3 linked regions of the Rattus norvegicus genome follow. The protein of the gene in region 1 purifies or fractionates together with the protein of each later gene. This does not show direct contact. Links are inferred from orthologs where the notes say so. Each region holds a gene or a part of one and is shown on either strand. Other genes may lie near its edges.

What was found. Proteins that work in one complex are often made in the same cells at the same time.
Region 2: the proteins of Slc9a6 (region 1) and Clgn purify together in Homo sapiens (co-immunoprecipitation; 3 studies listed by BioGRID and IntAct, with this or other methods). This does not show direct contact. The link is inferred for Rattus norvegicus from reciprocal best matches to the Homo sapiens genes SLC9A6 and CLGN.
Region 3: the proteins of Slc9a6 (region 1) and Mblac2 purify together in Homo sapiens (co-immunoprecipitation; 3 studies listed by BioGRID and IntAct, counting the BioPlex papers as one, with this or other methods). This does not show direct contact. The link is inferred for Rattus norvegicus from reciprocal best matches to the Homo sapiens genes SLC9A6 and MBLAC2.

Annotation. Positions count from the first base shown.
Region 1 is NC_086039.1:139,466,755-139,471,331, forward strand, and holds the start of Slc9a6 (sodium/hydrogen exchanger 6), read left to right. Parts: upstream 1-1,290; 5' UTR 1,291-1,322; intron 1,323-1,342; exon of another isoform or gene 1,343-1,363; coding exon of another isoform or gene 1,364-1,522; coding exon 1,523-1,691; intron 1,692-4,577. UniProt on the Homo sapiens protein: Endosomal Na(+), K(+)/H(+) antiporter. Mediates the electroneutral exchange of endosomal luminal H(+) for a cytosolic Na(+) or K(+).
Region 2 is NC_086037.1:41,619,236-41,623,336, forward strand, and holds part of Clgn (calmegin precursor), read right to left. Parts: intron 2,917-4,101; coding exon 2,775-2,916; intron 1-2,774. UniProt on the Homo sapiens protein: Functions during spermatogenesis as a chaperone for a range of client proteins that are important for sperm adhesion onto the egg zona pellucida and for subsequent penetration of the zona pellucida.
Region 3 is NC_086020.1:13,762,237-13,765,491, reverse strand, and holds the end of Mblac2 (acyl-coenzyme A thioesterase MBLAC2), read right to left. Parts: intron 2,154-3,255; coding exon 1,768-2,153; 3' UTR 934-1,767; downstream 1-933. UniProt on the Homo sapiens protein: Acyl-CoA thioesterases are a group of enzymes that catalyze the hydrolysis of acyl-CoAs to the free fatty acid and coenzyme A (CoASH), providing the potential to regulate intracellular levels of acyl-CoAs, free fatty acids and CoASH.

The sequences.
Region 1 (4,577 bases):
GGAAGAAATGGGCCATTATTGATGGGAAAAATTCCTGGCCAGTCACACAGAACAACCTTTCTAGAGTTGTTTGATTTCCCTGAAGTTCGCTATCCTCCCAGTGCTTAAGCAGTTTTGTTAACACAGAGGCATCCACACCAGGGTTGTTTGTAGTTGTTCTTGGGTGATGCGGTCCTGAGATGAAAAGGTTTCACAATGTAAGTTATATCCAAAGTGGCAGGGCTGGGATAGATACTCGTCCTACTGCCATCATGAACGCTTTGAGGAAGGATGTCTATTCGGAGGGGATAGAATCAGCTAATTTGGAGGATATTCTCAATACCCAACAGTAGAGGCCTTAAGGCACAGTGGCAGGCAGGGCTTGAGACTTGTAGCTTATTCATGTAGAAGTGAAAGTCTAGATAAAAAGAAGCCCAGGTCACTAAAGGAGCGAGCCTGCAAGTATGGGAGTTTTTGAAAAAGTTCCCAAACATAGCTCAGCTATGGAGGTGAGCTGTGAAAAATCTTGCCTTGTGAGGTCTAGAGGGATATGCAGAGATTACTCTTTGAGGGAAAGAGAAATGACAGGTAGGGAGTCAAATGTGACAGAACTGGTGCCATTTGCCTTAAAGTAACAATAAAAAGAAAACAGGGGAGGGAAGCACCCTGCACCAGCAAAGATTTCTTCCCCAAGGTTTCTGAGGAAAGGTAAATTTGAGCACAAACTTGGTTGCCTATTCTTTGCAAGGCTGATGAACCTATGTATTCATTCCTGGTGGTGAATGACATATATTAAGCATTGACATTCAGAGAAAACCCAATTATACAGATACATACATGATCCATGCCTTTGTGTGAGTTCCTTTATGAACTCTTACAGTGTTACTTCCCCAATAAGGGCAGAATAAGGGGATCCCGATTTAAATTACAGAGCTGGAGATTGAGGCCACTCCCTTGGGGACAACTTCATATGCTGTTAAGAGACACTGGGGGATGATATCCAGATGGGTTTTGAAGATCGATTTCTGCCCCCTCCCAGCTGTCAGAATAGAACCCAAGCAGAGAGCGCAACCTGCGTCTGATTACACTGGCCCCATGTTTCTTCAGCGGAAAACAGTGGGTTAGATTCATTAAGTTTTCACTTTGGGACTGAGCTTGAGCTCTAGGCGTGCCTGTAGGTGGGCAGACAAGCCGAAGAATGGGGACGCGCGGGCGGGAGTAGAGGCGGCGGGCACTTTAAGAGTGGAGGCCCTGCTGGGCGGTGCCTGCACCGCCGGCTCGGCTGCAGCCCCGCCCCTTTCCCGTGAGCCCACGGGGAGTGGTCCGACCACGGGCGGCTGCGGGTGAGGAGAGGGGCGGGGGACAGGGGGGTGGGGGGGAAGACATGGCTGTGGCTCGGCGCGGCTGGCGGCTGGCGCCCGTTCGCCGTGGCGTCTGCGGGCCCCGGGCGCGTCTGCTTATGCGGCCCCTCTGGTTGCTCTTCGCAGTGAGCTTCTTTGGCTGGGCCGGGGCTCTGGACAGCTCTGGGGGAACGACCAGAGCCATGGACGAGGAGATCGTGTCCGAGAAGCAGGCGGAGGAGAGCCATCGGCAGGACAGCGCCAACCTGCTCATCTTCATCCTGCTGCTCACCCTCACCATTCTGACGATCTGGCTTTTCAAGCACCGCCGGGCCCGCTTCCTGCACGAAACCGGCCTTGCTATGATTTATGGCAAGTGTCTCGGACCCCTGTCCCCTAGCTGGCACTGTCCTTTTCTCTGCCTGCTGGTTGCTTCGCCTCCTGTCCTGGTCCTCCTCGGCCTACATTCTGCCCCCCTTCTCATTTCAATTTCTGCCTCGCCTTAAATCGTCCTCCGTTTCTGCCTCACCCCCCTCTATTTCTGCTACGCCCCCCATTTTTCCTACCTCGTTCTCAGCCTCGCCTCCCCATTTTCTCTGGCTCTCCTTGCTCTTTTCGCCTCCGACCCCACCCCCTTTTCCTCTGCTCCCTGTTGCCCCTTCCCTGCCTTCCAAGCTGGGGACCAGGACGGGTGGGTGTAGAGGATGGGAACGGGAGTCGGGTGCGGTGGACGGGATGGGGCTGGGGGCGGGGAAGACATCTTTGCAATCTCCGTCTCTGGGGTGTCAGTTTGGTTAAGGTTCGGTGAAGCTGCAGTAGTAGCTGTGCTGCCAGCATCTGGCATTCATTTGGAAGCAGAGTCGACCTTTTACTTCTTGCCCAGCTTTTGCTATGCCGCCTTTCTAGGCGCAGATGATAATCTTACTCCAGTGGAACCCACACAAACTAAAATCCTGAAGTAGGCTACAGAATGTTTAGGGCATTTTAAATGCCGTTCTAATTTATTATACTATACCAATAATACCTGACAGGGAGCCTTAGGGTTGACCCTTCCGATTCAGGTGTAGGAAAGTGAGGACTAGGAAGAGTTAGGGTTCTTCCAGCAGCATCTTACTTACCATCTGATGAGAACTGGTCAACCAAGTAGTAATTAAGAACCTTCACGGATATGGATAGGGGTGACTTGCTGTTGGCATGGGGTTATTGATCAGATTGCTGTGTAAATGATTTTGGTTCTTCAGTCTTACTGTGCTTTCTTTTGAGATTATCTGTGTGTTGGGGGAGGGACAGATGATACATGGGGGCGGGGCAGAGGAGAGGAGACAAAACCCAAACCATGGGCTTAGAAGTCTTTGCGCCATTTCTCCAGTCTTGTGAGGGGAAAAGATCTTGCTGACAGTCTCCTATCTGCCTAGGAGGGCATGGCCTAAGAGATGAGGGTAGACAGACAATCCATTTGTACAGTGCATGTGTGAAGATTATCTTCATTTGCTACAGCCCTGAATTATTAAGCTTGTTAAGGTCTGTTTCTGAGACTTGAAGACAGGTATACGAAGGCTTGGAGCTAAAAGGCATTTTCCCATGCAGCTCCCACCCACTTCCAGTAAATCCAGACTTCTAGAATGTGCATGCACATCAAGGGTGGCAATAAAAGGTAGTTGTAGGCCTGAGGAAAATGCATGGACTGAGGCTCCCTTTCCATTAAGGTAAGAAACTCTAAGCATGGGGACTAGAATGTTAAAGATGACACTCAATTTGTAGTGCCCCTTAAGTCTAATTGGTCACATACAAGCTATATCTTGTCCAATTTCTCCATGCGACACTGTATTGACTTGTCTACTATCTTCAGCAAGCGTAAGCTGGTTAGTTTATTATATTATGTACAGGAACTATAGACATGTAGGAACTTTACGAAGTAAAGACAAACCATAGAAAGGATATAACAACATTTGAACTTTGGTTAAATGCAAATGAGCCTTATATTGTTAAAATAAAGAACTGATCATAGATAATCTCTTTCCTATTGAGAGATATGGTAGCGGTACAAGGCTTTAGACCAGGATTGGCATTTTTAAAGGGCTCGATAGTTAAGACTGTTGATTGTAAGGGTCATGTATATTACATTTTATTCTGTTTTTTTTCTTCTGCAAACTTTTTAAAATGTAAGAAACCAGGACTTAAAGAGAAGGATCAGTGGGTAAAGGCACTGGCCCCAACACTGTGGCTCAGAGCCATCTATAACTCCAGTTCCAGGCACTATGGGCAGCACACACACATGGTACACCAACATACATGTAAGCAAAACATGTGTCCACACACAGTACACATACATTTAAATTTTCTATCTTTATGCCTTTAAAAAGAAATGTAAAAACCATTCTCAACATTTGGGCCAGGAGAAAACAGACTAAGGCCTGAAGCTGCACAGCCCTTGAGAGTCAGCCCCAGATTTCTGTTATACTGTGCCAGTAACTCTTCATGATCTTAGCAAGGCCCTGCTCATCTCTACTCTTATCTGTGTATTGGGAATGAATTATGAGAACTGCTTTCAGCCTAGTCCTTGAGTCCCGAGTAAATACATGCTCAGTAAATGATAGCTGTTCTTGTTGCTGTTATAGCTCCCAGGGTCAGAAAAGTCTTTTTCCTTACTTAGTCTTACAAGACACAAACAGTATTTTTTTTAATCAAATAGGACTTTGGACAACCCTGAAAATGTTTGTTCTTTGCTATCTGGTGTCTCAAGTAGGAAAACACAGGATTGCTGATGGCCTTTGCTAACACTTCTAAAACGAGAATGAATAGTGCCTTAGCGGTAATATTCTATGAGGGAACAAGCATATCACTTGAAAAACACGACATGCAAGAGTGGTTGTCTGGGAGGCAATCCTGGGATTGACTTGGCATTCCACAGCTTGTCCCACTTTCTCAGCAGAAATGACGACGGGTTATAGAATATTCGTGTTCCTAACTCCCAAATCCAGCTGTAGACTAGATGGGATTGTGATGACATATATCAAATGTTCAGAAAACTGAAGAAAAATGCTATTTGTTTATTAAAAAGTTATCTGGTCTTTCTGTGTAGCCCAGGCTAGACTTCAGCCCATGGTCATCCTGCCTCTGCCTCCCAAGTGCCAGGATGGCAGGCTATGCTCACCGTGCCTAGTTCATTGATCCTTGTAAGAAGTAAGTGTGAAAACCTTAAACCACAGCTGGGATGTGTGTGGTGCTGTACACCTATGACCACTAAACTCGGGAAAT
Region 2 (4,101 bases), on another chromosome or scaffold:
CTCCCAGGCCTGGGAACGGAGCCACTGGGAGGCATAGTTAACCGAGATGGCGCTGACATGTGGCTGAGGAAGAGGTGGTCTCTATGTCCAAAGGAATACTGTCCCACCCCTTAAAAGCGTGGAGTAAACTTTTATTCACAGCAACATGGCTGGCACCACGAAACATCACATTAAGTAAGATACTCCGGCAAAATCACCCAAGACACATTCCACCCACTCTCGTTCCTTTTTGGAAGGAAAATATTGATTTAATAGAAGTGAAAAGGAGCTATTGGTGGTTTGGAATCAAAAGAGAGAGGAAGAAAAGAGGGAGGAGAAAGACCAGGGACCAAAATACACTCAGAAAGAAGGAAGTTCTATGGCCCCCTGCAACTACAATAACTTACGTCCTAGAAAGGACCAGAATGGGGCTGGGGATTTAGCTCAGTGGTAGAACGCTTGCCTAGGAAGCACAAGGCCCTGGGTTCGGTGCCCAGCTCCGGAAAAAAAGAACCAAAAAAAAAAAAAAAAAAAAAAAAAAGAAAGGACCAGAAGACAGGGTCTCAGGACAAGGACTTGACAAATGTTTAAAGAGCCAGAAATGGGGGTTGGGGATTTAGCTCAGTGGTAGAGTGCTTGCCTAGCAAGCGCAAGGCCCTGGGTTCGGTCCCCAGCTCCGAAAAAAAGAAAAGAAAAAAAAAAAAAGGCAGAAATGTTAGGCTGCATCCCACACTGACTGTAACACCTATATTAAATGAAAAACACCACACAGAGAGTTCATGTGTGAAATTAAGGTTTGAAACAAATATTGTACAGAAAATGTAGCACAAAACTGTTGTTAGTTGAAGTAGTAATCATGGAGATTAAAAAAAATGTTCCAAATTTCAAAGCATTTCAGACTTCAGGTCAGGCGCGCTCAAACACGAATTGACGTGGCCATGGAAGGGAAAAGACACCAAAATTCAGCAAAAGCCGTGTGCCACTAAAAGCATTTAATGTAACATGTTAGCCCATTTGGTGGCTGTTCAGTTCTCGATCCTCTTTATTTTTTCAAAATAATAATTTCATAGTTTTTTTTTAAAGATTTATTTATTATATATAACTACACTGTAGATGCCTTCAGACACACCAGAAGAGGGCATCAGATATCATTACAGATGGTTGTGAGCCACCATGTGGTTGCTGGGATTTGAACTCAGGACCTCTGGAAGAGGAGTCAGTGCTCTTAACCGCTGAGCCATCTCTCCAGCCCCATAATTTCATAGTTATTTGAGAAATTTTTAGATGTATTTTCTTGTTTGCTTCTTATCTGGCAAGACATTTTTTTAAAAAAGTGATTCTCCCTGAAAACTGATGACATTTATCTTACTCCTGAAAACTTGAAGTTTGTCTTGGTTTTCTTCACAGCCCTTTTTGAATGAACGGGGCACTCACAGAGTGATGTTGTGTGCCTAACGATTAGGAGACTAGTGCGGCTACTTTCCAGTTCTCAAGGAAGGGCGGTGGGGATGGCTCAGTAGTGAAAGTGCTTGACACACAAGCATCAGATGTTCAGATGCCCAGAACCCATGTAAATGCTGGGTGAACATAGTAGCCAGCCTCAGAAGGCAGAGGTAGGGGATTCATAGTGCTGACTGGAGAGAGCAGCCACACCACAGAGAGACGGTGTCTGTCAATATGGTGGGTCAAGGATGATTTCCAGCATCGACCTCAGACCACCCCCCCCCACACACACACACATAAACACACAACTGCACACCCAAACACATAATTGCACACAAACACCACGGGGGATGGTGGGGGGGGAGGAAAAAGAAAACAATTATAAAGGAAAACAAAACTCAGACCAAATCTTAATAATAAGCAGTACCAATGTAGCTAATGCTACTTTAATTAGTTCGTGTAACAGGCAAACCCTCCTTGTCTTGACCTAGGACTGGATGGCTACCGAAATGGGACAACAAACCCAGGAAGTAGCTCTCCTCACGGTACTGGCAGAGAGCCAGAGTCTGCAGGCTTGTGGGTCCTGCGGCTGTTCTGAAGGACAGACTGACCCGGGAGAGTTTCCAATCCAAGGCAGCCTGTGAGCAGGAACGATGCTCAGTCCTTTCCTCTGTGATTGAACACAGAGTGGCTTTCAGAGCCTCACCTTGGCTTCGAGTTTTGTAGGTGAGAGCACGTAGGGAATTTCTACCTGACCTTGGAGCTGTAGACCACACAGGGCTGAAGTCAGTGCAAGGGGAAGAGATTTCAGACAGCATCAGGGCTTTAAAAAGAGCTCCACACTTCAAGGACATTGGCCTGAGGACACATTTCCCTGCTGAAACCAATTTCCTGCCTTCTAGCTCTACTCTGTATATCCCAAGGTTACTATCTTAACAGCATGGAACTAGAACAACTGATATAAGAGCGTGCATTTAGCGTGCCACCTTTTACAGAGCCAGAATTGTGCCTATAGGAGACGCGATGTAAAAGTTTATCACTGACACACACACACACACACACTCACACACACACACACACAAATGTTTATCACTAACCTGTTTGCCCCCCAAAGCCCGGGGTGTGGTTATATTTACATGTGTTTGTCTATGAACCTGGAAAGGGAAAGGGTGGGTGTGTGTGTGTGTGTATGTGTGTGATGTGGTGTGTGTGTGTGTGTGTGTGTGTGTGTGTGTGTGTGAGAGAGAGAGAGAGAGAGAGAGAGAGAGAGAGAACACAGCACCAAAACCTAACATACATTCAGATGGCAAATTATAGCAGGCTAATGCAAATGAAAAAGTCTTAAAACTTACTGAACTATCAAAGGTTTATCGGCAAAAATAAAGGGTTTCTCGAGGACAGCAGATATCGCATGGTGCTTGGCCTTAGACTTCAGAACCAGCCCTCTGTCACCAGGCACCTGGTTTTCCTTCAGCTCCTCTATTTCCCATCTTCCTGAAGGAGAAAGCAAAGGAAATGAGCTACAACAGAAGACGCAGAGCTTCACCTCTCAGCTGCTATCAGCACAGATCCTTTCCCATGAAAAATGATTATGAAGAAAATAAAATCGTATAACGCTTCAGAAAATGATTCCTGAATTTGTCTTTTCTCCTCTCCTTCCCTGTCCTTTCGCTTCCTTCCTTCTTTTTTTTTTTAAGATTTATTTATTTATGTGATTACTCTGTTGTTAACTAAGAAAATGAAGCCAGTTTCTGACAAATGATAAGAAAAACAGAAGAGAAGGATGGAGAAGAGAGGAGAGGAAAGAAAAGAAGTGGGGCTGGAGAGATGGCTCAGCGGTTAAGAGCACTGACTGCTCTTCCAGAGGTCCTGAGTTCAAATCCCAGCAACCACATGGTGGCTCACAACCTCTGTAAAGGGATCTGACACCCTCTTCTGATGTGCATGAAGACAGGGACAGCATATATATATATATATATATATATATATATATATATATATATATATATATATATATAAAATAAACAAATCTTAAACTCAGAAGACTAATGAATAACATGGCAGGTACACTTCTAAGATGGACGCAGTTAGGTTTTCTTGACCTACTTTCAATAAAACAATGGTGATAACATCATGGTTCCTCTCACAAGGACTAGGAGTGCTGACTCTGCACTTCCTGTCTGTGTCACCCTCTTGATCAAGAGCAAAGTTTGCTTTGTACAGATACTTAAATTAAAAATGATTTTTTTAAAAAAAGAAAGAGCCTTGTACAGATACTTAAATTAAAAATTATTTTTTAAAAAAAGAAAGAGCCTTGTCCAGATACTTAAATTAAAATGATTAAAACAAAAAGAAAGAAAGAAAGAATGAGGCAAACGTGTGTAGGAAACAACATGCGTCACTCATAGCCCTGAAGCTGAGCTGGGGTCTGGGCTGCGATCTCACTGTTCAGATCTGAAGGTTTCTGCTGTCAGACCATGGGGCTACCCAGGCTGTAAGCCAGGTGGGCTAACGGTAGCCCCAGAGGTCTGTGTTGGACATTGCCCCTTTATTCGTCTTAGAATAAAAAAAAAAAAGACAAAACCAAACTTAATCTATATAAAATGTTACAGTTTTGAAAATTATATGTTTGTCTGTTCCAACCAAACTCAATTCAGTAAAAGATGGTTATTTGGCTGT
Region 3 (3,255 bases), on another chromosome or scaffold:
CATGCTAAGTACATGATGCTTAGAAGAAATGGGACTCCAGAAATTTAAATTTATATGGTCACAAGGAACAAGATAGTCCATCTAGCAGTTCTCGAAAGCGTAGACTCCTATCTTTTTTATTTCCCAGCCTCCCTCCAAATGTGACTAAAAGTCCCCTCTTACAGGGCCTTTGTCCTTACCCAGCCTCACACCCGTCCTCAGCCTTTACATTGAAGCATTACATTTATGAACGCCAACTTGCATAATTAAGTTTTGGGTTTTGTGGCCTTAACTTCTAGCTATACAGAGTTCTTTCACTTTCAAATATCCTGCCTTGTTTAGCACAGACCTGTGTACCTCTGTGTAAATGTGGCATGCCTGTGTCTGTGTGTGTGCACACATGCACGCCTGCATGTGTCTACTGAAGGAATAAAAACCTAAAGAACCTGGGTGTTTGCAGAGTAAAAAATTACAAAACTTGACAGAAACAAGAACTGCTGGTATGGATGGATCTGATTTCCAAAAGTAGACCTCTTTGGTCTACAATGTTAATAATAAAAAGGTAGTGGGAAACTGTTTTAAAAACTTTTATGAAATATTCCAAAAGGCTTTTTTGATAAATTATTATTATTAAAAGCACCAAACCCAAACATCTTGTGTAGTATCACTCAATAGTGGCTTAATAAGTTTTTATGACATATGAACATAAACTTTTTGTTTAAGACAAAGAATACTGAAGAGGAACAGGTGTTGTGAATCAGGATAAGAAGGCCATTTGCTCTAGTTAATACATAAGAGATATATTGCAATAAATTTAAATATTCTTCTGTGGTACATATACATGTTATATTAATTAAAAGAACTGTTTACACCAAGATGTCAGAGATATCAGGAGTTCTTTGGGTACTGTAAAACATGACACAATAGTGAAATTGCTATTTAAGCAGAAAAAAATTTGTTTATAGTATCTATTAATACTAAAATAGGATATAATAAAAAATTATTATCAATATGTTTATTTTCAAATTGCCTGACAGTGTCCTTTTAAGAAATCTGACAATTTATATATAGGTAACATACATTTGAATTTCATGTTCATGACTGAAAATATTACTTGCACAATAACAACAACAGTAGCTTTTCACTGAAGTGCTCTGCAATTTACATTAAAGCTTTGCAGTAAGACACAAATCCATTGTACTGTTCATTCCTTAAATTATATAGCATGTTATGTGCCTTATACTTATATAAAGAATTAACAATAAAAAAGGAGAAATACAATCACAAACATGGGCTGTTGTAGCTGTCATTCTAAATGCTAGTTTATACTGAGTTCTACTTTATTTTTGAACCCAAGAAACTTTATCTTTAAATAAAATCCGGAGATAAAATGAAGTTTACAGTGTAAGCATAGAGCCCCCCCCCCCCAATCATTTCCCATACCATTTCCCCTCAGTATCTAGGGAAATAAACTATGGGGCAAGGGCAGCTGCTTGTGCTGCATAAGTGCATCCTTGCTGCCTGGAGCACCCACAGCACGGTCAGAACACACTCTGAAAGACAGCACTGGCCAATAACAAGCTTTCTTAAGTGGCTTATTCCTTGGAGAAAAGAAAAAGATACTAAGCTCAGACTGTTTATTTTTTCTTCCTCCTTAATCCTCTTTTTCTCTAACATACAATGGTGATATTAAAGCACTTTTTGAAATGCTCACTAGTAACTTTCCAACAACACAGGGGAACTGGGTTAATTTATACAGTTAATATAAACAAATGACCAGTGTAGATACTAGGGTGAGGTCCTAGGATTTGTTACACGGAGAGCTAAACTTGCAAGAGATCTCATGGCAAAAGTAGACACTTTGTGGCATATCCCAGCTTTTGAAATATAGTTAGAAGCTAAACGAAACAGCCTTTCAGCACCAAAGGTATTGAAGTGCCCAGGAAGCACCTTCTCCACAAGACCTCTGTCCACCAACTCTATGAGACGTTCACAAGTTCCAACATAGTCACTGATCCTGCTGTATGGGAGCCAGTCAATCAGTGATCCATCATACACGACGTCACCACTGAAGAGTACCTTGCGGTCTTTATCATGTAAGCAAATACTGCCTCTGGAGTGACCTGGCATGTGCATAACAGTGAGCTGTCTGTCGCCAAGGTTGATCACATCCCCTAAAATAGAAACAGAAGTTACCAATAAATACCTGACAGGCTACTTGATGTTAATCATTGACAAAAGCAGAGGAGCATTAAAGGGTTTCAAGGAAACTTGAAGACAACATTAGCTTTATTTTCATGTTATGTTTCTCTCCTCTCTCTCTCTCTCTCTCTCTCTCTCTCTCTCTCTCTGTGTGTGTGTCTGTGGTGTGTATGTGTGCCATGTGCTGTGTATGTATGTGTATAAGTGTGTGTGTGGTATGCGTGTATGGTGTGCATGTGTGTGCATATGTGGTATGTCTGTATGTGTGGGATGTGTGTGGGCATGTGTGTGTATGGTGTGTGTGTGTGTGTGTATGTATGTATGGTGTGTGTGGTGTGTGTGTGTGGTGTGTGTGTTTGTGGTGCGTGTGTGTGTGTGGTGTGTGGTGTGTGTGTGGTGTGTGTGGTGTGTGCGTGGTGTGCGTGGTGTGTGTGGTGTGCGTGGTGTGCGTGTGTGTGGTGTGTGTGTGTGGTATGTGGTGTGTGTGTGTGGTATGTGGTGTGTGTGTGTGTTTGTGGTGTGTGTGTGGTGTGTGGTGTGTGTTTGTGGTGTGTGTGTGTGTGTGTGTGTGTGTGGTGTGTTTGTGGTTGTGTGTGTGTGTATGTGTGTGTGCGCGCGTATGTGTGAAACTGGGGAACTGCCACAACTCAAAGTCAGCTTGGGCAACAGTGACTTTCAAGTTACCCTGAGCTACAGAGTGAGAGTCTACCTCAAAAAAGACCAAAATAGATCAATAAATAACAAAAACAAGAGAAAAGTAACCAGAGTACAGAAGACCAAAACACATTGATTAATTTAATATAACTGTCACATAAGAAACACTTTATACACAGAGAGATAGCTTTTTAAAATTATATTTGCCTATAATGCTAATACATAAGACAAATTTCAATAAATTTAAAGGAATAAAATGCAAAATATACCTTCTGACCACAATATAACTAAAATATTATTAGAAATAGCACAATTAGAAATAAGAAGCAGGGGTTGGGGATTTAGCTCAGTGGTAGAGCACTTGCCTAGCAAACGCAAGGCCCTGGGTTCGGTCCCCAGCTCCGAAAAAAAAAGAAAAAA